Linked DNA regions of Tamandua tetradactyla. The protein of the gene in region 1 interacts with the protein of each later gene in a pairwise test. Links are inferred from orthologs where the notes say so. Each region holds a gene or a part of one and is shown on either strand. Other genes may lie near its edges.

Evidence for each region.
Region 2: the proteins of MRFAP1L1 (region 1) and C15H3orf62 interact in binary tests that used the Homo sapiens proteins (3 or more experiments, as listed by UniProt). The two-hybrid records come from large-scale screens. The link is inferred for Tamandua tetradactyla from reciprocal best matches to the Homo sapiens genes MRFAP1L1 and C3orf62.
Region 3: the proteins of MRFAP1L1 (region 1) and HTT interact in binary tests that used the Homo sapiens proteins (3 or more experiments, as listed by UniProt). The link is inferred for Tamandua tetradactyla from reciprocal best matches to the Homo sapiens genes MRFAP1L1 and HTT.

What each region holds. Positions count from the first base shown.
Region 1 is NC_135345.1:6,192,167-6,200,549, reverse strand, and holds MRFAP1L1 (MORF4 family-associated protein 1-like 1), read right to left. Parts: upstream 3,256-8,383; 5' UTR 3,001-3,255; coding exon 2,617-3,000; 3' UTR 2,565-2,616; intron 2,068-2,564; 3' UTR 210-2,067; downstream 1-209.
Region 2 is NC_135341.1:36,968,705-36,976,580, forward strand, and holds the start of C15H3orf62 (uncharacterized protein C3orf62 homolog), read left to right. Parts: upstream 1-4,849; 5' UTR 4,850-5,109; exon of another isoform or gene 5,110-5,128; intron 5,129-5,302; exon of another isoform or gene 5,303-5,421; 5' UTR 5,422-5,426; coding exon 5,427-5,836; intron 5,837-6,752; coding exon 6,753-6,844; intron 6,845-7,876. Other genes in the region: USP4 (ubiquitin carboxyl-terminal hydrolase 4), read left to right, coding at 1,569-1,672, 3,416-3,504, 3,872-4,033. UniProt on the Homo sapiens protein: Essential for normal spermatogenesis and male fertility.
Region 3 is NC_135345.1:3,103,218-3,110,442, forward strand, and holds the start of HTT (huntingtin), read left to right. Parts: upstream 1-4,198; 5' UTR 4,199-4,394; coding exon 4,395-4,600; intron 4,601-7,225.

The sequences.
Region 1 (8,383 bases):
CACCATCACCATCTTCCTCCCTTCACTCAAACTCCCACTAATCCACACACCGCAGTTGCGTTAACCTTTCTAAACCACAAATGCGATCGTGATCATTCCCCTGCTCAGAAATTACCAATGGCTGCCAGAAATACTTCTCCCTTTGTAGTCAAGAACCCAGAAAGCCTGAGGCATGAACAAGATTCTGGAAACCACAACCCAGGCCAAAATAGCTTCTATAAGATTTTTATTGTGCTCACATATTTTATTTTTTAAATGACAAGTTTACACATTAATCCAAAACACATACCAAAGCTCATTATGATGAACATATATTTGGTCTTATCTACCATCAAAATTTCATTTAGGAATTCTGGAAATGACACCATGCCTTTTCTATGGCTTTTGCACATCCAGTAGCAGACTAAGAAACTGTCCAGAGTACAGTTACCTCAAAAGTATAGGCTTATAAAGATGAATAAACTCTGCTTGCCTCTTCCACTTCATCTCCCACAAGTACCTCCACATTCTGAAGTTCCAATTCACTGGCCATCTCCTGTGGGCTGGAACTCCCCAGGTGTTCGCTCACATTGCTTCCTGTGCCCCATACACCTTCACTTATTTCTACTTTCAGAAGCTGTACTCAACATTCAAGGCCAAGTTAAAACACTTGCTCTAAAAAGCTTTCCCAGACTCCCTCCTCAGTGTTTCCACAGGAGCACACTCTATTGTTATTTGTTTCCATTTCTGTACCACACACCTCGTGCCAATCCATGAATTACTTTTATATTCAAAATACTTTGCCCAAAATAGGGAGCACATCACATTCCCACGGACTGAGTGACTAAACATGCTTGCACTGCCGAAAAGCAAGAGTTTGGCCAGAAGTTTCTTCTTCTTTTTTTTTTTGCATGTGCAGGCACTAGGAATAGAACCCAAGTCTCGGGCTTGGCAGGCGAGAATTTTGCCGCTGAGCCATTGCACCACCCCAGAACTTAATTTCTTCTAAGAATGGAAGCGTTTTGTCATCTCTTCCCTGTATCATCTTCCAAAAGTAATTTTCCCTCACAGAAAAAGGCTTACTGAAAGCCTCATAAACTACAGCAGTTTACCCCCTTTTGATGATGCCAACACTCAGATAAGAATATCCATTTCAAAAGAAATTTATTTATAATTCTTTAATTGACACACATAGAGGATTTGGCCATCTGAACAAAAAGAAAATTTCAGACAAAGGCTCTCTAAGTCTTGTTTTTCAAGGCAAACCAACACATTCCACGTTTGATTTTGCCCTCAACTCCATCAGGTCTATTACCCTGATGAACTAGAAAGGACTTTATGAGCCCTAATGATGCTTTTTCCTTTCTCCAGACTCTCCACACTTCTGTAGATTGTCTCTTTAATGCTATACTCTGAAGCCCCTATAATGTGTTGAGGGCATCACAATGGTGAAGCACACCCATCATTTTATTCAAACTTCTATGTCATAAACTTCTGAGCTAGGTTGTCTAAATAAACTCACCTGACAAAATACACAATATATATCAGACCATGTGCTACACAACATAGCTCTCCTCCTTTGTTTCATACAGGAATTAAAGTTTCAAAATATTTACAAATCCATCTTCCATCTTCAACAGTCTTCTAGTTCTTCCCAGTCTGATCCAAAGCAATCTCGTTTATACATTCTTCACCAGATGCAACCCAGCAGTGCTTCCCAGTGCACCTCTAAAGTTGGAAGATTCTGATCACAAGTCTTTACATGTTCCAAAGTTCCAGAGAGCAATACTAGGTCATGCCCAACATTTCAAAAACACAGCAAAACAACAGAATAAATGTGACCACTGAAACAACTTTTGATTAAGCCCCATTCCCCTCATGAGAGTATTTCTCAAACAAAAATTATTTTTACAGATTCAATTACATCTGACAATACAAACCTGTATCAAAGTCATCAACCACCGACCATGAAGGAGACTGTTACATGGGGGTAAAAAACATTCAAAAACAAAACAGTAAAAATGACAAGCTGTTTCAATTTCTTCAAGTCCACTCTTACCCGCTGACCAGAGTCCATCAGCTGTGAACCTAAAGCACAATTGGAAGAAATTTACCATCAAGACATTCTGAGTCTCAGATTTCCATATCCTGATGTTTAAAAACTTTTACAAACATCTAAAGAATGTCACTTCTTACAGACAAGGTGCTGCCACACACCCGTCTTCCAGAAAAATCTGGGAATTTCTATCTCTCTCTGCCTGTGTTCTCACCCACCCTCCCCTAGTTTGCTCTAACAGCCTGGTTCCCCGCCTCCCCCTTCCTTAGCGCGGAGGCAGGTGTATCCCCGGCGACTGTACTACCACAGCTGACGCTTATGTTTCAAGAAAACGAACTTGAACTTTTCTCTATTACCAGAGCGGGAGGAGGAGCTTTACAAAACAGTATCTACTAACAGCTAACCAAACGAACGCATTTATTTTCCCCATCGCCCCCATTCCCCATCTTTAATGCAGCAAAATTGGGGGACCACTCCCAGAACGTTACCATTTTTAGAGGATGCTGTTTAATCGTGCTATGACAATTACCGAAACATCAATCCAGCTCCCGCCGGAGGCCGGCCACACCGCCACTCCCCCTTCAAGACGATTCGCTTTTCTCTATTCGCCAGACTAGCTCGACCAACATCTCTGCCATCTTCGCAATCTCTTTAGCCTTTTCCTCGGCCTTCTCACACAATTCCGACACTCTCTCATCGGCGTCTCCGTGTGGGTTCTGCACGTGATTCAAAGCGCTCTCTTCCGACGCCTCCACCTGCGTTTTTATTTGGATGAGCATATTGTCCATCTCCCACAACTTGCTCCTGGTCCTCAAATACGCTCTTCCGTGCTCTCGTATGAGCGATGCGATGTCCTCCCGCATCTCGTGGATGACTGGAAGCAGGAATTGCTCGAAATCTTCCTCCGGTTCCAGCAATTCGACCTCCTCGGGGGCTTCCACCTCTTCGATGTCCAAGGGCCGCATGTTCTCCCGCTACCCCTTCAGAACCTCAGTATCGACGTCCTCCTCACGCGCGCCCCCCCGGGGAGGGCTGATCACGTCGCTGCCGGACTGCAAACCGTGACCAGAATTCCCGGCTTACCCTTAAAACGCTTCCTCCGCTTAAACCCTTCGATTCACAGCTGGGACGCAGAGAACGCCTCGCAGAAACGCAGCGAAGCGGCCCACAAAATGGACTCGCCGCCGTCAACCGGCGCTCTGCGTCTTTGCGGCCCTTTCACGACACGGCTGCGGCCCTTTACGGTCACGCCTCCAAAAAACTCAGGGCTTGGGCGCGCGCACGTAACAGGATCGCGGGTGTGCGCATGCTCGCCTCTCTTCTCCGCTGGTGCCCGCTCCATCCCCTCGGGGGGACGGGACGACCGTAGAGGTTTGCTCGGCACGTCAGAGGCGGCTTCTGTGGACGGATTTTTACTTTTTTAAAACAATATGTGCTCTCGGGCCATGCTTTTATTATTTAAAAAAAAGCAATATATGCAAAAGCAATCCCACACCCCCACCCCACCCCGTATTTGGATAAGACTCCTTGGTGTCCCCAGCATTCTATGGGGGCCGAGCAAGCACTGCTCTGAAGTGCTTAAGTTACGCTGAATGAACTCACTTAACCCTCACAACAAACCCGTGAGCTAGGCCCACAGGTGGGGACGTAACTAAAATCCAAGCTCATGATTAGCATTTGAACCCCGAGCAATTTGGGTCCACAACCCCTGTTCTGAGCTACCGGATTATGCGCCCTCGCTGGGACAAAGCCCTTCAGCCCAAATCCGTGGATGCTGATAGCCCCTTTCATTCCCCTCTTCTGTACTGGAGAAATTTCTTTGACTACCTGGGTTACTATGGTCTGTTTTTTTGGTCTCTCTTCATCAGACCAAAAGCTCCCCAAGGGAAAGGTTCACTTTTGGTTCAGGTCTGCGCTCAGCCCCTGCCGGCAGCCTGGCATCAGGTAGGGCCTTTCAGAATGTTTAAGAGAAAAGGAATTTCTCCCTAAATTATCAAGTGCTTCCGTGAGACTGTAGGCTCCTGGAGGGCAGTTCTGGTCTTGGTCACCTGTGTGCCCCCACCCGCAGGACCTGGCGAACAGCTGAGTAAACGTTGCTTTCATATTCATTGACCATGTGATTTGATCACTGAAAGTGTGTCATTGTGGGATGGATGACGTACATTTCTAGGCTTGTCACCCAATGTCACACTTGGAGTAATTTGGGGAAATCCCGCTTGCTTGCATGCTAAAGATAAGAACATCAGTTTTCCAGTCCCATTAAAGGCCAGTGATCCCAGTCTTCGTATCTGTCGGTGGTGAGAGGTGTAAGTGAAACAACGTGCATGCAAATGTTTTGCAAACCTCAAAGTACTAGCAGATGTAAGTGTGCTTGTGTATTATAACTCTGCTTGTGTAAATTGTAGTGCTTGATATCAAAGATTTTGGAGTCAGAGTAATCCAGAATTAGCTCTAATTCTTCCAATTATTTGCTCTGTGGCTTTGGACAAGCTGGATAACCTGAACATACCTCTCTGGGTCTCTTTCCCCCTCTTATCCTAAGGTGGGCATTGAGGATAGTGATTTCCTAAGTAGGGGACCATGTGGCCCAATATTTTAAAACTCATGTCCTGGTGTGATAATTCCCTACTCTAAAAAGTTTCTGGTTTGATAAATTAGCCTTTATTAAGATTATGAACTGCTGTTCATCAAAAGGCACTATCAAGAGAATGAAAAGGCAAGACACAGAGGGCAGAGAGATATTTTCAATAAATATGTCTGACAAAGAATTCATACTAAAAAATATTGAGAAGTACAACAGATCAATAACAGAAAGTTAATTATTAAATTGGCAAAAGACTTGAGCCAGGATTTTATTGAAGAGGACATCCAAATGGCCAATAAATATGAAAAGGTGCTCAATTTCATGATTCAGCAGGGACATGCTTATGAAACCACAGTGAGACAGCACTAGACATCCACTAGCATGGCTAAAATTAAAACCACTGACAATACCCAAGTACTGTGGTGTGTGTGTGTGTGTGTGTGTGTGTGTGTGTGTGTGTGTGTGTGTGTGTGTGAAATATGGTACATTGAATTGTGTTCCTTGCAAGTCCTAACCCCTGGTCCTGTGGGATTAATTTGTAAATAGGATCTTCAATGATGCTTTTTACATGAGGTTAAATCTAACCCAGGTGGGCCTTAGTCTATTGTGACTGGAGTCCTTATGAGGAGAGGAAGTTTAGACAGACAGATGATTGAGCAGCAAGAGAAGAAGCCAGAGGAGAGGGCAGAAGGAAACAGATTACCATATGTTCTATTTACTAAGCTGCTGAAAGCAGATACCATAAAATGCTCTGGGGCGGGGGAGGGGGTTGCGGTACAAGGGTAGCTCCATGATAGAATTCTTGCCTGCCATGCAGGAGTCCGGGTTCGATTCCCCGATCCTGTACTTCCCCCAAAAACAAACAAACGAAAAATACCTCCTTTAGGGCCTAGAACATCAGCTAGTCCCATCTCCCAACCCCATATTATTGACAGCCCCTTCCAACATAAAAAAGTTAGAATGGCCATAGCCCAAATACCCCTAAAGATTGGGATTGAAAGATCAGAGGTGATGGTGGAGTTAAACAGAGAAGGTAGAGTTCAAAAAACGATTATGATTGCTGAATAATATCGATATTTCTTTCAGTCTCCAGTATCTTAGGATAGTTAGAAGTAAAAACCCAAAACTGTGGAATTGCAACCCATACCAAGCTCTGAAATCTGTTCTACAACTAATTGTTGTGCTGTGATTTGAAATTTCATTGCTTTTTTTCTGTTTATGTTATTTTTCACAAAAAAGAAAAAAAAGTCAATTATGATTATAGAAAATGTATATTTATTCCTTCTAGCCTCCTATATTCTGGAGCAGCTAGAAGGAAAAATCTGAGAGGATGGTAGCCCGTGGCAAACTCTGGGCTCTCTTGTTGAAGAGTGCTTTGAAAACTATTGCTTTTTTCTTTCTTTGTTTTGTATATATGTTATAGTATACAATAAAAAAAAAGTTTTTAAAAAATGCTCTGCCTCTATCTATGGGAACTTATTAGCTTACAGGCTTACAGTTTTGAAGCCATGAAAATTTCCAAATCAAGATGTCATCAAGATGGTGCTTTTTTCCTGAAGACTGGCTGCCAGCAATTGGCAAGGCGCGTGGCAGTGTCATTTGGTCTCCCTATTCTTCTGAGTTTCTTTGCTTTCAGCTTCCTGTTTCCATGGCTTCCTCTCTCTTTGTCCAAATTTCATTCTCTATAAAGGGCTCCAATAAGAGGATTAAGACCCACCTGAATGAGGTAGGTGATATCTTATTAAGATCCTACTCACCAAAAGATCCTACCCACAGTGGGCCCACAGCCGCAGGAATGCATTTTGGTGGGTACAGCTTCAAATCCTCACGCCATGGGATGGAGCAGAGATTGAGCCAGCACCAGAAAGCTACAGCTTCAGAGAACACATAGCTTACCATTACGTCAATTCTGGACTTCTTGCCTCCAAAATTGTAAGACAATAAATTCCTATTGTTTAAGCCAACCAGTTCATGATATTTTATTTATTATACCAGGCCTGACAAACTAAGACATGGAAGAATTGGGCTCTCGTACACACTATTCCTGGTGGGAATATGCATTGGTAAAACCTTGGGGAACTGTTTGGCAGGACCTGTTAAGGTTAAGCATATACCAACCCCATGACCTAGTAGTTTGACTCCTTGGTACATACTCAAAAGATTTTGAATTCCTATGTACACAAAAAGACACACACAAGAACACACATAGCAGTTGTATTATGAGCCCCAAAGTTGAAATAACCCAAATGTCTATCAGCAGGAGAATAAATAAATTGTAGTGTACTTTTTCAGTGGTATATTAGTTATATATTGCTGTGTTACTAGTTATCCCCAAATTTAGCATCTTAAAACCACAAACTTTATCTCACCTGGTTTGTAAGGGGCTGGGGGTCCCTCACAAGGTTGCAGGCAAGCTATTGGTTGGGGCTGCAGACATCTCAAGGCTTGACCAGGGCTGGAGGACCCACTTCCAAGATGGCATATTCATGCGGGTGTCAGAAGCAAGCTGGCCAAAGGCCTCAGTTCCTTGCTTTGTGCTCTCAGATGAGCAGTTTTTTCAGACTGCTTCCTTTTTTAAAAAAATTAGGAGGATCAAAGCTCTCTTCGTTTTGCACTGTCTCTGTCCCCTCCAGTCCAAACTATAGTGTTTCTTCTAATATAATTATCTTTAAAATATCATAGGAATTGGTAGAGTCATTACCAGGGGCTGGGGTGGGTGGGTAGGGAATGGGTAATTAATGCTTGAAGTGCTCAGAGTCTCTGTTTGGGGTGATGGGAAAGTTTTGGCAATGGACTGGGATGATGGAGCCCAACAATGGGAACATAATTAATGGCACTGAAACATATATTTGAATGTGACTAAAGGGGGGAATTTTAGGTTGTGTATATGTTACTAGAATAAAAATTTTTAAAAAGTAGGACTGTACAACACAACGAACCCTAACGGAGTCCTTGGACTATAGTTAATAGTACAATTACAATAATATTCTTTCAGTTGTAAAGAATGTAACACAATAATGCATGCTGTTAACAATAGGGGGTATATGGAACTCTGTATTATCATTTTTATGTAAACCTACAAATCTCTAAAAAAAGGAAAAAAGAAAGAAAAAGACACCCTAGGACTCTTCTGAATCTCACTGGGGTGCACTCCATTACACAAAAACCCACACCTGCAAAACCTTCTTGGGCTTCTGCTGATAATACTGAGGAACAAACTCTTAAAGAGTCCTAGAGGAGGCTATTTCACAGGGAGAGGAGGAGATATTCAGATCCTTGTAAATGAGGAAATTTCCAACGCCATGAGAGTGTGACCAAGACAAGACACATATTCAGAAAATTCAGGAGAAGATACCACGCTTTCATCTCAGGCCGATCTGCAGTTTCATTGGCAGGAGAGTGAAACTCTGAAGCAGAGTAACAACCACCACAGAACCAATTTGCAAAGACTGTGAAAAATGGTTTTCGTGATGCATTTGTTTTTGTTAGCTGCTGACATGTAAGAAAATCTCTGTCATATCACTATCTGGGTTCGGACTTAAGGAACAGACAGATCAAGGGCTAAATTCCGTTGTTAGCACATTAAAATATTAAAATGTACCAAAAAACCCAAAACAAACAGGAAACTATGGCCCATCCAAAGGAACAAGATAAACCATCAGTGATTTAATTAGGTTCTCTAGAGAAACAACCAAAAGGAGATATCTGTAAATATAAGATTTGTAAAGGTGTTTCATGCAAGAGTAGGAATGAGAGTCCAAATC
Region 2 (7,876 bases), on another chromosome or scaffold:
GCAGTGAGTTCACCTGCTGACTTGGGTTAGAGAGGCTACATCTGAGCAACAAAAGAGGTTCTCCGGGGGGGGGGACTCTCAGGCCTAATTTTTAGTAGGCTTATCCTGACCTTTGCAGGAATAAGTTTCATAGGGGTACACCCCAAGATCGAGGGCTCAGCCTATTGATTTGGTTGTCCCCACTGCTTGCAAGAATATCAGGAATTCTCCAAGTGGGGAAATTGAATTTTCCCCATTTCTCCCTATTTTCCTAAGGGGACTTTGCAAATACTTCTTTATTCAGTGTTCAAATCACTCTGGGATTTAATCAGGGCACCACACTAACCTGGACAAACCTTCAAAATTTCACGCCCTATTCAAGGTTCCATGTATTTTACCCTGTCCACATACATTAAACTAAGAAATACACTAGTCAAAATATAAATTTTGTACCAAACATTTCTTGCTTTAGTCTCACACAGAAGCTGATGTTTTAAAATATGAATTACCATCTATTTTCAACACTCTGCAATACTGACATTCCTTTGTTCTTCCTCATGCAAAAACATTTTTTAATTTGTACATTTAGTCACTATCATTGTACACTCTAGACATTCCTAGATTATACCATCTCGGTCTTTATCGTCTCTCTTTCCTTCTGGTTTCTTCTGTGCCCCTAGCCCTTCTCCCTCTATCATTCTCACATTCAGCCTCATTCGGTGTACTTACATTATTATATTACAGTCAGGTAATATTGTGCTATCCATTTCTGAATTTTTACAATCACTCCTGTTGCATGATCTGTATCCCTTTAGCTCCAGTTACCCAATCTCTACCGTATTCTATCTCCTAATAACCTCTGTTCTTAACTGAAATTCTCCAAGTTTACTCATTAATGTTAGTTCATATCAGGAAACTATACAGTATTTGTCCTTTTGTTTCTAGCTAATCTCATTCAGCATAATGTCCTCAAGGTCCATCCCATCTCAGAATTTTTCTGTGGGCTGTGAGAGGAGTCCTTGAGTTTGGCTACTGTGGTACTGGGTTCCATGTGGGGCCCAAAAAGCAGACTTTAAACAGCTTTCCATGGGGTTGGATAGATATGTGAATTATAGACATGTCAATGGTAGAATCTCGGATTTGGGTATATGAATATTTGTTGTAAGATTCTTTTACTTTTCTGTGTGTTTGAAATTTTCAAAATAAAATGTTGGGATAAAAAGCATTCTTAGGCCTGTTGTGGGTATTTAGCTTAAATTATTATAGCACCAGTTATAATTCTGTTTGCAACAGCCACTTTTACATAGCTGCTAAAGAGCACAGCTACTAAATATCTGTTCACCAACTTCTTCGCCATTTGATCTGGTGGTCATGCTGTCCAGCCTTCTTCCATCTTCTGTGCTGAACATTGTCAGGACACAGACCTCCAGGGTCTCTTCTGATCTGTTCATTCATTCATTCATTCTGTAACTGATTTTGGGGTGCCTTTCTGTGTTCTAGCCTGTTACATAAAAGATGTTGCTGGGTTGCTTTGTTTTCTTTCTCTGAGTTTAACATACTTAAGGGCTAATTTTGCATTTTGTGCTCAGAGCTCTGAACATGTCCGAGTTTGTCTGTGACCTGTCAGCAAGGCCCTATGTATACGACCTCATTGCTGTGTCCAATCATTATGGAGCCATGGGGGTTGGCCACTGTAAGTACTGGCATCTGCTTCCTTCTGAAATGTTGAAACGCCCTCAGCCAGTCAGCTCTCACCAGACTATCCATGTAAGCCAGGCAGTGTTCTCACATTTTACTTTGACAGCTCCGCAGGCCTCAGGCTCCATGCTTCTTCAATACTGCTGCCCCACCATTCTTACTAGGTATCATCTCCTGGCTCAGGATAGCTCTTCAGTCTCCAGCCTTCATGTCTGCTTTCCATGCCATTTTTAAGCAGATCTCCCAGAAGCCTCTTTAACTCCTCTACATGCATTGCCTTGGCTTTAAGTTGGCCATGTGACTACATCTGGCTGCAGGGCTGGGAAATTAAAACTGTCCCTGCTGGAGTGGCTATTAGCAGTCTCTGATCATATATCCTAGAGCACTCACTGTTTTGCAACTTGCGTTTTTCTCCCAACATTAATTTTGTTACCTGTTTTTATGCATACTGGTCAAATGTATTCATTTTTAACTGCCATTTTAGCACATAACACTGGGTAAGTATTTCAGCCCCTCTGTGCCTCACCGTTACCATCTGACAGATTAGGATGGTTGTGTAGTATCTGGTGCCCAGCCCACATTGGGCCCAAAGTTGGAACTCCAAGAACGAGCCACCACTGCTGCTGTTTGGCTATGCCCAGACAGTGTGGATGAGCCCCTGAACCCCTTCTCTGTTGCTTTTTTCCAGGTTCCTCATCACACCTCATGCACTAGGCTCTTTAGTGAGGAAAGTGAAGCTGAGGGGTTTAAAAAGCTTGCCCAGGGTCACACAGCAAGAGCTCCATTAGATTCTGCAGCATCTTAAAGACTGGGGAAGCAGGAATTGAGGGTTGCTTCTGGGATTGCTGTTATAATTACATCCTACCTGCAAATAGCATAAATCAAGATAGAAAGTGTTAGCTGAGGGAAAATACTTGGGCCATTGTGTGGAATTACTATCCAACCATACATTCTTTTTGGAAGGTAGTGCATGGGCTGGGAATTGAACACTGGTCTCCTGCCAGGCAAGCAAGAATTCTACCACTGAATTACCCGTGTGCCCCACCCCCCATCCTTGACCACAGATTCTTTCTTTATTTAAATATTTTTATTGATAACATATAAACACAAGCATTCTTATACAAATATTGCATACATACCAACCATAGATTCTTGACTCAGTTTTAGAGAAAAATAAATTTAAGGCTTCTTGTCTGCATCCTACCTAGGTCGTTCTTTGCCTGCTTTGCAAACTGAAACACCCAATTTATCCCTAACAGGAATTATCCCACAGGCTCCACAGGGATTAAGAGTCTCATGCTGATAACAGTTGCCGTCTTTCTGGACACAGTGGGGGAGTCTGATTTGGCATACTCTTTTGAGAGCTATAGCTTGATAAATCTCAGAAGTGTGAGTTCCATCTTTGGGGCTCCATCCTCTAGAGTATTGCAGCAAGCCCAGTGACTGACACTGGGTTTCTCTATCTTTTGGATTAGTTTCCAAAAACTATAGTATAAAACCTTGGTCTCTGACAGCTTTATTCTGACCCTTTTATGTATTCTTTTTGAGGAGATTAGAAACAAAAGGGTGAATTGTCTTTTAGAAGACACAAAGTATATATTTTAATTTCAACTTTTTTGTTGTCTTTTGGTTTTTATTCTTTTGGTTAAGAAATATTGTTTAGTAGGAGTTTATCTAATAAGCTTGCCAGTTTCACTCTCTGGTGATTGCTACAGTGTTTTCTTTGTTGACTTTGCAGACACAGCATATGCAAAGAACAAACTGAATGGGAAATGGTACTATTTTGATGATAGCAATGTGTCCCTGGCTTCTGAGGATCAGATAGTGGTGAGTAGGCCCCATTATCTGGCTCCTCCTCTTAACTTTATGGATTCAAGTTGGGAAGGGTCTTGGGCTAGTATGGTATTTGGTCAGCCTGCTGTGACAGTGGGAGCTAGCTGTAGCAGAGAAAAGAGTTGGCTGCTATTCTTTCCAGGACATTGCCTAACCAAGAAGCTAACTCCCTTCAGCGTTCTGTGTCATTCCCTGGCAGGGTCAACATGAGGCAACCTCAAGTGAAAGAGCCTCCACAGTCACCTCTGTGTGGATACACAGATCCCCTAAAGTTGTGTGTTTGGAGCAGTGAGAGAGAAGCCGGGGAGAGTGGGTTCTCCAGACCAACCAATCAATGGACTTTTTCCTTCTTGTGTTTTAGACGAAAGCAGCTTACGTGCTGTTTTACCAGCGTCGAGATGATGAGTTTTATAAGACGCCTTCACTCATTGGTTTTCCGGGTTCCTCTGATGGAGGGACGAGGCCAAGCAGCTCACAGCAGAGCTTGGGGGATGACGAGGCTTGCAGCATGGACACCAACTGATGCTGCCTCTGTGACCCTGCCACCCCCTTGTACCAGTGTAATTCCCTAGGAGAATGTCTTTGACCCTCTGAAGACTGCTAGTATTCAGTCTAAAAAACAGATGAGGAAATTCCCTTCTTTTATGGGCAGAAGAAAAAAAAAGACCTTGTTTGCTCAGAAGGGTTATGTCAAGAGGCTGAATTATTTTACTTTTTATATGGGTGGTGAAAAATTTCTGTAAAACCTGTGGAGCTGCGGAGGGGGGTAGGGTGGGGGGCAGGGGGCACAGTGGAGTGTGTGTGATGGATTCCAGAGACTGGAGAGGAACACATTGTAATTGATCCTGGTGCAGCTAGGACGACCTGCTGCAGGGCCACCCTCGGTTCCTGATTTCTGGTTCTGGTGCCGAATGCTGATCACTCCAATAGTCTGCCCACAGTAAACCAAGCCTCAAGTAAACTTGGCATTGGTGCCTCCTCCCTTACCCTGCTCTGAGTTGGGTTTATAATTCCAGGAAAGTTAGTCACTGAAGTCCATTGCTGTCTCTCCTCTGGGTCTTCTTGGAACTTCACCTTTTTCTCCTCCAATGAAATGGAGACATTCAGTGGGGGAAAGGGGTCTCCTATCCCTCAACCTCTCGTAGAACTGAGCAGTTGTGTTATATCTCTCGCCAACCTTGATGAACGGAGACATTTAGATCTTGTGTGAAACCTGTTAGATATTACTTAAAAGAAGTTGATACACAAAACTGCTGGGTGCTGTTCCCATCCAGTCGTTTCCATTTTCGCTTGAGAACGGGAGCCCTTTTAGGAGTTTGTCAGCCCAGAAAAGGGCTCCCGTTCTTGCCAACTTTTGGTAACAAGCGAAATCCCCGCCCCTCCAGCCGGGTTCTCTCCGCCCCGCCCCTGGGCTGCCTTCCGGGCCACCGCCTCTCAGTGTGCAGGGCCTTTGCGTCCCCTCCCACCGTGTGGGTTCAAAGAACAGTAGGCCGGGCTTTTGTGTGTGACCTTTAACCCGAACCAAGGGGGTTGGTGTCGCCCAGCCCGGGCGCGCGCCGTGACCGTTGGCGAGGGCGGGCGGTGTCGCCGCACTGCTTGGTGAGGACGCGGCCGCAGGGTGCGGAGCTCGCCACGGAGCCGGGATTGCGGCGGGCGGGGGCGGGGCCGGGAGGCAGTGGGCGGCGAGGCAGGGCACCCCGGGTCTCCTGCGGCTGGGTGGTGGTTCCGCCCATCGGAAGGCGGAGGATACCTGCCGGCCTTGAGAGGAAGGCGTCGGGGGGGGGGGGGGGGGGGGGGGGGTCAACTCAGTGCCCTGTCGGGTGATTCGCCATCTCGTTTGTAATGGGATCATTCTCGAGTTGCTTTGTGCATTTTCAGTGTATTACGTAATAGAGACATGGTCGCTTTTAGGGGAAATGTCTGAGAAACTAAGAAGATGCAGGAAGGAGCTGACTGCAGCCATTGATCGGGCCTTTGAAGGAGTCAGTCATTCCCAGGAGTGCGCAGGTCACCGGAGGCTGGAACTGGACGCCTCGCCACTCTCTTTCCCCTTCCCTGTGCATAAGTTCCTCTGCAGAAGACACCCGCTTGTCACCTGCTCCTCTCCTGCTCCATTTGTGCCTGTCCCATGTGCTCCTGAAAACGAGAGCCCTGCCCTTGCACCAAACCATGCCCCAATAAATACAATACCACATGCTTTATGCCCAAAAAGAAAACCTCTGACCAGCAAGGAAAATGTATTGATGCATCCCTCCATTTTGGTACCTGAAAGTCAGTCTTGGCGAGCTGCAGGCGATGGGGAAAACTGGAGAAAAGAACATTTAAGGTGATTCTAATTTAATAGTTTAATATTCTGTAAGTAAGTGATTTCTTGTTTCTGAAAAAATTGTTGGCGATCCTAGATTGATTCCATGACACATACTGCTCTTTCCTTCTGTTTATATAGTTCACAGACATTCTTCAGATTCAGGCCCAGCAAACATGTTGTGTATTTGTGTTTGGATAGGGTAGAGGAGATTGTTGACAATCCTGGTTGTGGAAACAGTCATGGAAACTACTTTGCAGTAAATGTTAAGAAACCTGATTTTTAAAGTAACCTTATTTTTTGTGCGGCAGAAACAAAAATATTTTTAAATATTTTTATTGTAAATAGCAAACATTCTATACATGGTGTACAATCAGTTGCGCACAATATTATCACATAGTTGTAGAAACAAAAATCTTAATTCTAGTTTCTGAGCCTAGACACAGGGCCTTGACACTCTCCTCTGCCTACATTAGAGAAAGGTTGTATCAGTAGCTGGACCGTGCTTCCCTGGCTACATCCTTGCCTCTGCCTACCCATCTACCCCACCTCTAAGTTTTATAGACTATCACTGGGTTAAGGTCTCCCCTTGACCATCTGTTCTCCTGGGTAGTTTCAAACAGCTTGGTCTCAAGTGCCTCAATTTGGAGCAAGGTTGACCTTGTGGGATGAAATTTCAAGGTCCTGCTATCTTGGCTTCCCTGTAGGCAAGGAATGAAGAGGCCATTTAACTGGTTCAACTTCACAAATATTAACCCTGGTTATCAGGAACAGTAAAGCAAGTCTATGATGCTTGGGAGTCATTATGATAATGCTACTGGTCAATTTCCTCACTGGTTTTTTATCCTTAAGTTATATAACAAACTCTCAGTTTCCCTCAGATATTTTTTGAAAGAGGATCTAATCCCCACCCATTTTTTTTCACCCGGGGCTATAGGAAAGATACGGAGAGAGATTTGAAGGTTGACTCAAATATGCCACTTAGCAGTCCTACTCAAGAGGTCACAAAGGATCTGCTGGATATGATTGGTGAGTACAGAGGGTACATCTGTCCTGTCCTTTGGCCCACATGGGCCCCTAAATCAGCAAATGTCTTAGATTAAAAATTGTAAGACATCAACACTTTTTATCAACCATTCATTCATAAGATTTATTTTGCTCACAGTATGCTCTGCATATATAGCAGTGAGCAAAACAAACCCTGTTCCTTCCCTCATGGAGCTTACAACTTGATGGGGTCACACATCAAGTCATTTCAGAAATATCTACTTACAGTCCTTGAGGATGTGGTGGTTGAGCTTAGAACTGAAGGAAACAGGAGATAGACAGAGAGGAGAGGGCGTCCCACTGGGGTGGGTAATGTAAAGTTTGAAGAAAAATTAGGGCACAAAGCTCCCCTATACTTCCATCACCCAGGATATACATCCTGTTTTTTTCTACACACACATATCTGTGTATTGTGTATGTTAATTATATGTGCCCTGTTTTATTTAAAAAAATTTCTTTATTAATTTTTAAATTTAAAAAATATGTAACAAACACAAACATTCTTAACATATGATCATTCCATTCTAGCATACGTAATCAACAATAGTTGCATATTCATCATGATCATTTCTTAGAACATTTGCATCAATTCAGAAAAAGAAATAAAAAGATAACAGAAGAAAATTCATACATACCATACCCCTTACCCCTCCTTTTCATTGATCACTAGCATTTCAATCTAAATTTATTTTAACATTTGTTCCCCCTGTTAGTGCCCTGTTTTTAAATGACGTATTATAGTGTTCAAACCTAGTAAAGGGATGCTTAGCCTTGGACACTGCCTAAAACTGTTGGCTCTGAAGGGCCTCCGGGTCATCTGGGATGACCCCGGCTCTTGTTGCCTCCATAGGTCAGGAAGTCCCTGAGATCTAGGTGTGCAGCTCTGTATCCTCCCACTTAGATCTTCCTTGGAGACTGGCAGATGGTTGGGGCTTGATAAATGCCAGGGCCTGAAAAGAGGGCAACCCAAGCCCACCTTAATTTTCCACTGCCTCTCGAATTCCCAGCTTTGTG
Region 3 (7,225 bases), about 3.1 Mb from region 1:
CTTCTGTGGGGTATCTAATTCCCCAAACCTTCCTTGCAAACCAGAGTATACAAATGTTTTAAAATTTGTGGCAAATGAAATATAAATGGTCTTCAACATCCCAATAAACCAAGAAAAGCCATTAACTGCTTAACAGTGTATGGAGTGGGGTAGTTCTGTACTTTTTCAACAGCAGCAGAATAGTTTTATTCTTACCTGACCAGGCAATACCCAAAAATTTGACAGAGCATCTGGGTCCCTGTAGCTTATTTCAACTTACCACCCATTCCCAGCTTTCAAAGTGGGTCACCACTAGGTTAGCAGAGGTTTCTAGTTATGAAAAAGAGTTAATGGTTTGCATAACATCATTCATGTAATGGAAAAAAGTTATATTTTCAGGGGATTTCCATGTTTTCAGGTCTTGAGCAACTAAACCATGACAAATAGTAGGACTATGAAAATACCCTTGGGGCAACACAATAAATGTCCACTGTTGTCCTTCCCACATGAAGGCAAATGCAAATGGCTGGAGAGACCTAAAGAGGCACTGAAGAAGGTATTAACAAGGGTTAATACAAAATGAAATTGGCCTGAGTACTTACAACCTTTAACAAAATACCAATGTTTGGCACACCTGCAAATAAAGGAGGAACTACTGTATTTAGTTGTCTATAGTCATTTATCATTCACCAAATTCCATCAGGTTTCTTTACTGGCCAGATAGGGCAATTAAAATGGCTGTGAGTAGAAATGATAGTACCCACTCTTTGTAATTTCTTAATAGTGGCAGTGATTTCTTGATGGCCCCTGGGCAACTTACACTAATGCAGTGCCACAGTGCTTCTGGGGGAAGGTACTTTCACCTGTGACTACTTAACATATCTTCTCAGGATGTTTGGACCACTCTGTACCTGTTTTAGTTTGTTAAAACTGCCAGAATCAATATTCCAAAACCAGAATGGTTTTTTAAAAAGGGAATTTATTAAGTTGCAAATTTACAGTTCTAAGGTCATGAAAGTGTCCAAATCAAGGCACCAACAAGAGGTTACATTCAGTCAAGAAAGGCTGATGCCATCTGGAACACCTCTGTCAGCTGGGAAGGCACATAGCAACGTCTGCTAGTTTTCTCTTTTGGCTTCTCATTTCATAAGGATTCCTCAGGGGTGTTTTCCTTCTGCATCTTCAAAGGTTTGGCTGTGTGGATTCTCTTGGCTCTGAAACTTCTTCCAAAATGGTTCCCTCTTAATGGTCTCCAGTAAGTGTCTCCACCTTGAATGGGTGGCAATGCATCTCCATGGGAACCACCTAATCAAAAGGTACCACCCACAACTGGGTGGGTCACATCTCCAGGGAAACATTAAAAAAGATCCCACCCAGCAATACTGAATGAGGATTAAAGAACATGGCTTTTCTGGGAGTACATAATAGCTTTAAACCAGTACAGCACCAGAGGCAGAATTCACTTATGGTACTTTGCAAGATAATATTTTGCTAGATATCAATTACTAATATATATACTCTTGGATAGGAGATATATGTATACCATATATGTTTGAGGTGGTAATTGGCCAGCTTGCATTAATAATTGCTGCTGAGTTGCTTCAATGCCTTCGCCCATGTATCCAGCAATGGTTAGTGTAGGGCTCCCAGTTTGTGGCCGTTGCCCATATATTAAGGTACATTCCACTTCATTGTCTACTAAGCCCAAAACTCTATGCTCATTAGTGGGGGAGTCATTTCTATATGTGGCCTCTGATCCCCAGTGTCCCCATATATTTTTCTTGGGGATCTTGACCTATCTCCTATGCAAGGGGGAAGGGGGCCTTCCAGACCTCCTGGGTCAGGGGGCGGAGGGTTCTTTAGGTGGTGTTGGCTGAGTCTTTGAGCCAGAATCCATGTTCTCCTCTAGTGACCTGGTTTCAAGCTTAGTAAACCTCTGCTCCTTGGACCACTTGCTCCACAGTCCAACTGATACTCCATTTGGCTGCCCATCAATATCCTCAATTTAGTTTCAGCATCTATTAGGTATGTCTACATTTGTCTGTTTGACACCTGGTTCAGACCATCATGTCCCCTTGGGATTTGACCCATAGCTCTGACTTGAGCTCCCCTCTGCCTTAGGCGATCTGTCTCTCCCAAGTGTGCAATCATTTGGGTAGCCTGTGAGATGGGCTGTCCTATAAGTGGGCACCAAAGTCCCCTATCACTATTGGGATCAGTATGTAGAATTGTCTTGTTAATTCCTGTAGCATAAATTACACTCTCTGGTCCAATGGCACCCAGCATTTAAATTGCATGTTTCATCCCAAGCTCCCTTAATACATCGTGTAGTTCATCAGTGGTGTTCCAGTGGGGGTTGCAATGGGGCAGATCCCCCTCAATGGGCCACACCTTCTGTACTGTAATATAAGCCAATTAAATAGCAAATTTGTTTCCATTTTGGGGGCAAATGAATACATGCATCGACACAGAGAAAGATAGGTGGTGAGAGAGGACAATTTACTCATCTCATGCCCAGAGAGCAGTAAACCATAGGCACCAGTGTCCCACAATTGCAGTTTCCAATTTGATAAAAGTTCTTTAGGTTTTTGTCTATACTAAGTCCCAATCTCTTGTAATTCAGAGCTGGTAGAATCTTGCACTGTAACATGTATTTTTTTGCTGGCCCAGATGGGTTCTGACTTAACCTTATGTAACTTCTTCCTCCTTACCCTAGTGCAACAATATGCTAATATTTCCAATTTTCATCTGCTTGGCATAGCCTCTCATTTAAAGCATCTTTCCTCTCCACTTGGACCACCCTCCCATCCATGTCTAATTTAGGTTCCTATTCTAGGGGGTGACTACCCCTCCGCTGTCAAGGCCTCTTCCATAGCTGTTTGCATGGCCTCCAAGAACAGCCAGGCCACAGCTGCAGCAGCCCAGCAGCTTTCCTTTTTCTTATGAAATCCCAACTGTACTGTGGCCTGTTACAGCAGGATTTTTAGTCCAGCTGGGGAGTTACAAGCACCTCCATACTTCTTCCGCGACTCCCATTCATCCAGAACAGTACGCACCTGCCTCCACATGCCTGTTGCAGGCCATCCTGGGAAGTCTCTTTTCCCAGTACTTCTGCCTTTCATCTTGCAGCTTTTTGGTTTCCTGGCTGGCTCGCCAAATATTCAAACCCAACTCCACATCAAGACCAAAGAACACACTAGACAAAGAGTTACCAATGAATTTTAATTAGGGACTTAGAAGATTTTTCCCCATGAGCACATCAGTGACCTGCACAAACAAGAGGAAGGGAGCAATTTACAAAGTCCAGCTGAGTCTGGCTGAAATTTAGTTACCTAGGGGTGTCAGCAGTCTCCGGAGAGCTGGTTACCTACAGCGCTTAGGGAACGGGAGTTTTAATGCTTTCACAATACATTCTTCACCCTTTCAGGGGTGGGTCTGTTGACCTTTAATGTCTGTGCTCTGGTCAAGCTGGTTACTACTCAAGGCTTCATTTCTTACTAGCTTGCCACCCCCCAGACCCCATCCGCGCGGAGCCTGGCGGGGAAGATCGGACAGTGTCCGCGCGCCTGTCCGGGAGCCCCAGGAACGCCCTTCCCCGGGGCCGGCCGCCCAACGGGCAACAATCTCTCCCCCACCCCAGCTGCCTGAACCCTCCCTCGCGCGCGCCGTCCCCCTTGGCCCCGCACCCCTTCCCGCCGCGGGACCACCTCGCCCCGCCGCGCCCCTGCCCTCCGCCTAGCGCCCTCCGGGACTGCCCATCTCCCCTTCTCCTCCTCCCTCCACCCTCCTCCACGCCTCCGCCTCCCTTCCCGCCCCCTCCACGCTCCCTCCCTCACCTTGCCCCACCCCGGCTCGTCGCTGCCCCCTCCCACCTCACCCCTCGCCCGCTCCCATCGCCCTGCCCCTCTCCGCCTCTTCCCGACGCGTCCCGGGTCGCCACCTGCCCTGTTCTCTCCTCTGCCGGCGACCGCTCTTCTCCGGCCGCCTCCACCTCTTCTCTCGCTGCCCCCGGACCGCCCCTTCCTGGCGCGCTCAGCCCCTTTCCCGCTTTCCCCGCCCCCACAGGCCGGGCCCCGCCTTCCCAGGGGCGGGGCGCGGGGGAGCCAGGCGTCGCGGCGGCTGAGTGGGGCGCGCCTGCGGGCGTGGTGGGCCGAGCCGGGACCCGCCATTGGCAGAGGCTGCATTCCCCGGCCGTCAATCACGTCGTCCGGCCTGTCCCCGCCTCCGCCGGGCAGCGTCGCGGGACGTAGCGTGCCGCGGGGGCTGCCGGGACAGCTCTAAGATGGCCGAGATCCTCCGTTCTCCCTCAGCTTGCGACCCAGTGCCCCATTCATTACCTCACTGCTGAAAGGCGCCCCGCCGCCGCGAGCCGGGCCCAGGGCTCCGGGGGCTGCCCCGCGGGACGGGAGGCCGCCATGGCGACCCTGGAAAAGCTGATGAAGGCTTTCGAGTCCCTCAAGTCCTTCCAGCAGCAGCAGCAGCAGCAGCAGCCGCCGCCGCCGCCGCCGCCGCCGCTGCCGCCCCAGCCTCCTCAGCCGCCGCCGCTCCAGCCGCCACCGCAGCCGCAGCCGCCGCCGCTGCCGCCCAGCTCGGCGGTGGCTGAGGAACCGCTGCACCGACCGTGAGTGTCGGGGCCCGGAGCGGCGGGCCTGCCGCTGCCTCCCCTCCCGGGGCGGGACCTCCCGGTGACAGCCTGGGGGCAGCAGCATCTGTGTCGCCGGCCAACCCCTGACCCCGCCGCGACGGTGGTGGCGGCGCAGCCTTGTCCCCGAGCCCGGGCGCGTAACTCCCGGGAGAGAGAAACTCGCGCTTTCCTGATGGGAGAGCCGAGTCCGGGCCTCGGGTTAGCATGTTCTGTCCCCTCCGGGTCCCCCCGCTGGGCTCTCCGTCATTCTGGGAAGGGAGGTAGCGGTTTCTTGGGGCTCCTCCCGAATTCACCGAGGGGGCCAAGGCCCCAGTCCTCTCGCCTTGTCCCAGATGCCAAGAGTTAGGGAATGAAATAGTTTTTCTTTGCGCGAAACGGGGAGGGGGGGTTGCGCGGCTGTGTTTTGATGGTGGGAATTTAGAAGAGCGCAGGTTGCGACCCTTTTGGCTTCCTCCCTTCTCTCTTCTGACTTTGAGAGGAGGAGGGCTGTGGGTGCAGGCGTTCGAGAAGAGCCAGGACTTGGAGCTGGGGGTGATGCGGGGATAGTGGATGACATAATGCTGTTATGGGCCGGAGTGGTTGGGGGAAGGCGGGGGACTGAGGACGTCGTCCAATGGGAGAGCCTTTTTCAAAGTGGTGCTCGAGAGAGCCCGACTTGAGTCTCTGTTCCCAAATTCCCAAGACATTTCATTTAGTTCCTGAGTCCTAGTGGTAGCGACGTGGTTTAAAGCGTCACTGAACAGGCCTGCTAATCTAAGCTCAGGTGTGGGTCTGCAGACATTTGATTAAACTGTGGTTGCCAAGTAAGTGATGAGGTAATTAGATGATGGTTATTAACAAATGAGAAATAATAAAGTTGATTTAAATATTAAGAAAAGTTGGCTGAAGTTTATCACCTGTTTTCTGTTGGCAATAAAGAGGACACGTTGCTGAGGGTGGGTGAATGAGGTGTACATTTCGCTGGTATTGTCCTCAGGCTTGTAGAACCTGGGGTGTCTGTAGACTCCAGGGATGTCTTTTGCAAGCCGGTGAAAGAGCTTCCTTGATGACAGGCTTGTGTTATCTGTAAGCCAGGGATCTCTGCTGCTTGTGTGTGGGGAGAATTTTTGAACCAGAAGAAGAGAAACACCTTCTAAGAAAACCCAGGAAGTCTTTCTGCTCTTAGCGATTAACAGAGGTTAGGGAGCACCCTTCAGGCATTTTATTTCTTACCTGAATGTGTACACATGATGGCATTTAATAGGTACAGTTTTCAAGACGCAGCCCCTTAAAGAACCTCATTGATTCATTTTTAGTAAAGTTTTCTTGCACTTTCTGTTTCTGATATGATCCCTTCTGTGTCCTGAGAGTTTCATTAGAAACTGAGGAAATAGGATGGACAGGAATATTTACTTATTCCTTCTTCTGAAGAGTGAAAACTTGTTTGGGTATCTAAGGAAACTTTTAAACAGTTTGCCTTATCACTGTAGCAGGTAATTTATAACCAAATCCATTTCCATCTTTTATTTTATTGCTTCTCTAGGAGGTAGGTATCATGGAAATTTGTACTTTGCTTGTATCGGGAAACACTAAGCAGGGTTGGGGTTGGGAAGGAAGTCCTTCCTGCTGTCCTCTGGTGTCTTGTTCGAACACTGGGTCAAACTAAAAGTATGCCTTCTGTTTTGTACACTGATTTGACATAGCCTGAATTTGCTTATTTTCAAAATATGGGTATCAAGTGGTATCCTTCTAAAGCTGGCCGTCAAAGTAGGTAGTTTCATTATTTTAAGGTAATACCTGATTGGTTCATTTAAAATTGATTCATTTAATCTGTTATTTTTGCACAGGTAATATATTAATACAATAAAAATTTCAAAATTACTAAAGAGTAATGATTGAAATGCTTTTCTCCTACCCCTTTCTCTTAAGTACCTCACATGACCCCACACACAAGCACTGTTCCACTTTCTTGTGTGACCTTCTATGTGTAAATTAAGATAGACTTTAAATTCTTCAAAACAAAAGTATTTTAGAATAGTAACCTTTTTTCTTCACTTCTATTATTTCGGTTACATTTTAAAAACATTTTTAAATTGTGAAATATAACATATATGCAAAAAAGTAATAAATTACAAAGTGCATTGTAACAGGTAGTTATAGAATAGACTTTAAAGTTTGGTATGGGTTACAGTTCCATAATATCAGCATTTTCCTCCTAGCTGCTCCAAGGCATTGGAAACTAAAAGAAATATCAATATAATGATTCAGCAATCATACTCATTTGTTTAATTCTATCTTCTCTGTTATACTCCATCTTCTCCTTTGATCCTTCTCCCAATTTAGGGTATTTGGGCTATCCCCATTCTAACTTTTTCATGTGGAAAGGGGTGTTGACAGTATGGAATAGGGAGATGAAACTAGCTCATGTTCTTGGAGAGGCTGGCTCCTCTGGACCTATCTGGCCTAGGAACCCTCTGGAGGTTGTAGGTTTCTGGAAAGTAATCTTAGTGCATGAAACTTTTGTAGAATCTCAGATAGAACCCTAGGTGTTCTTTAGGATTAACAGGGGTGGTTTTGGTTGGGGGTTGGCAAACCATGACAATTAGCAATATCTAGCTAAAG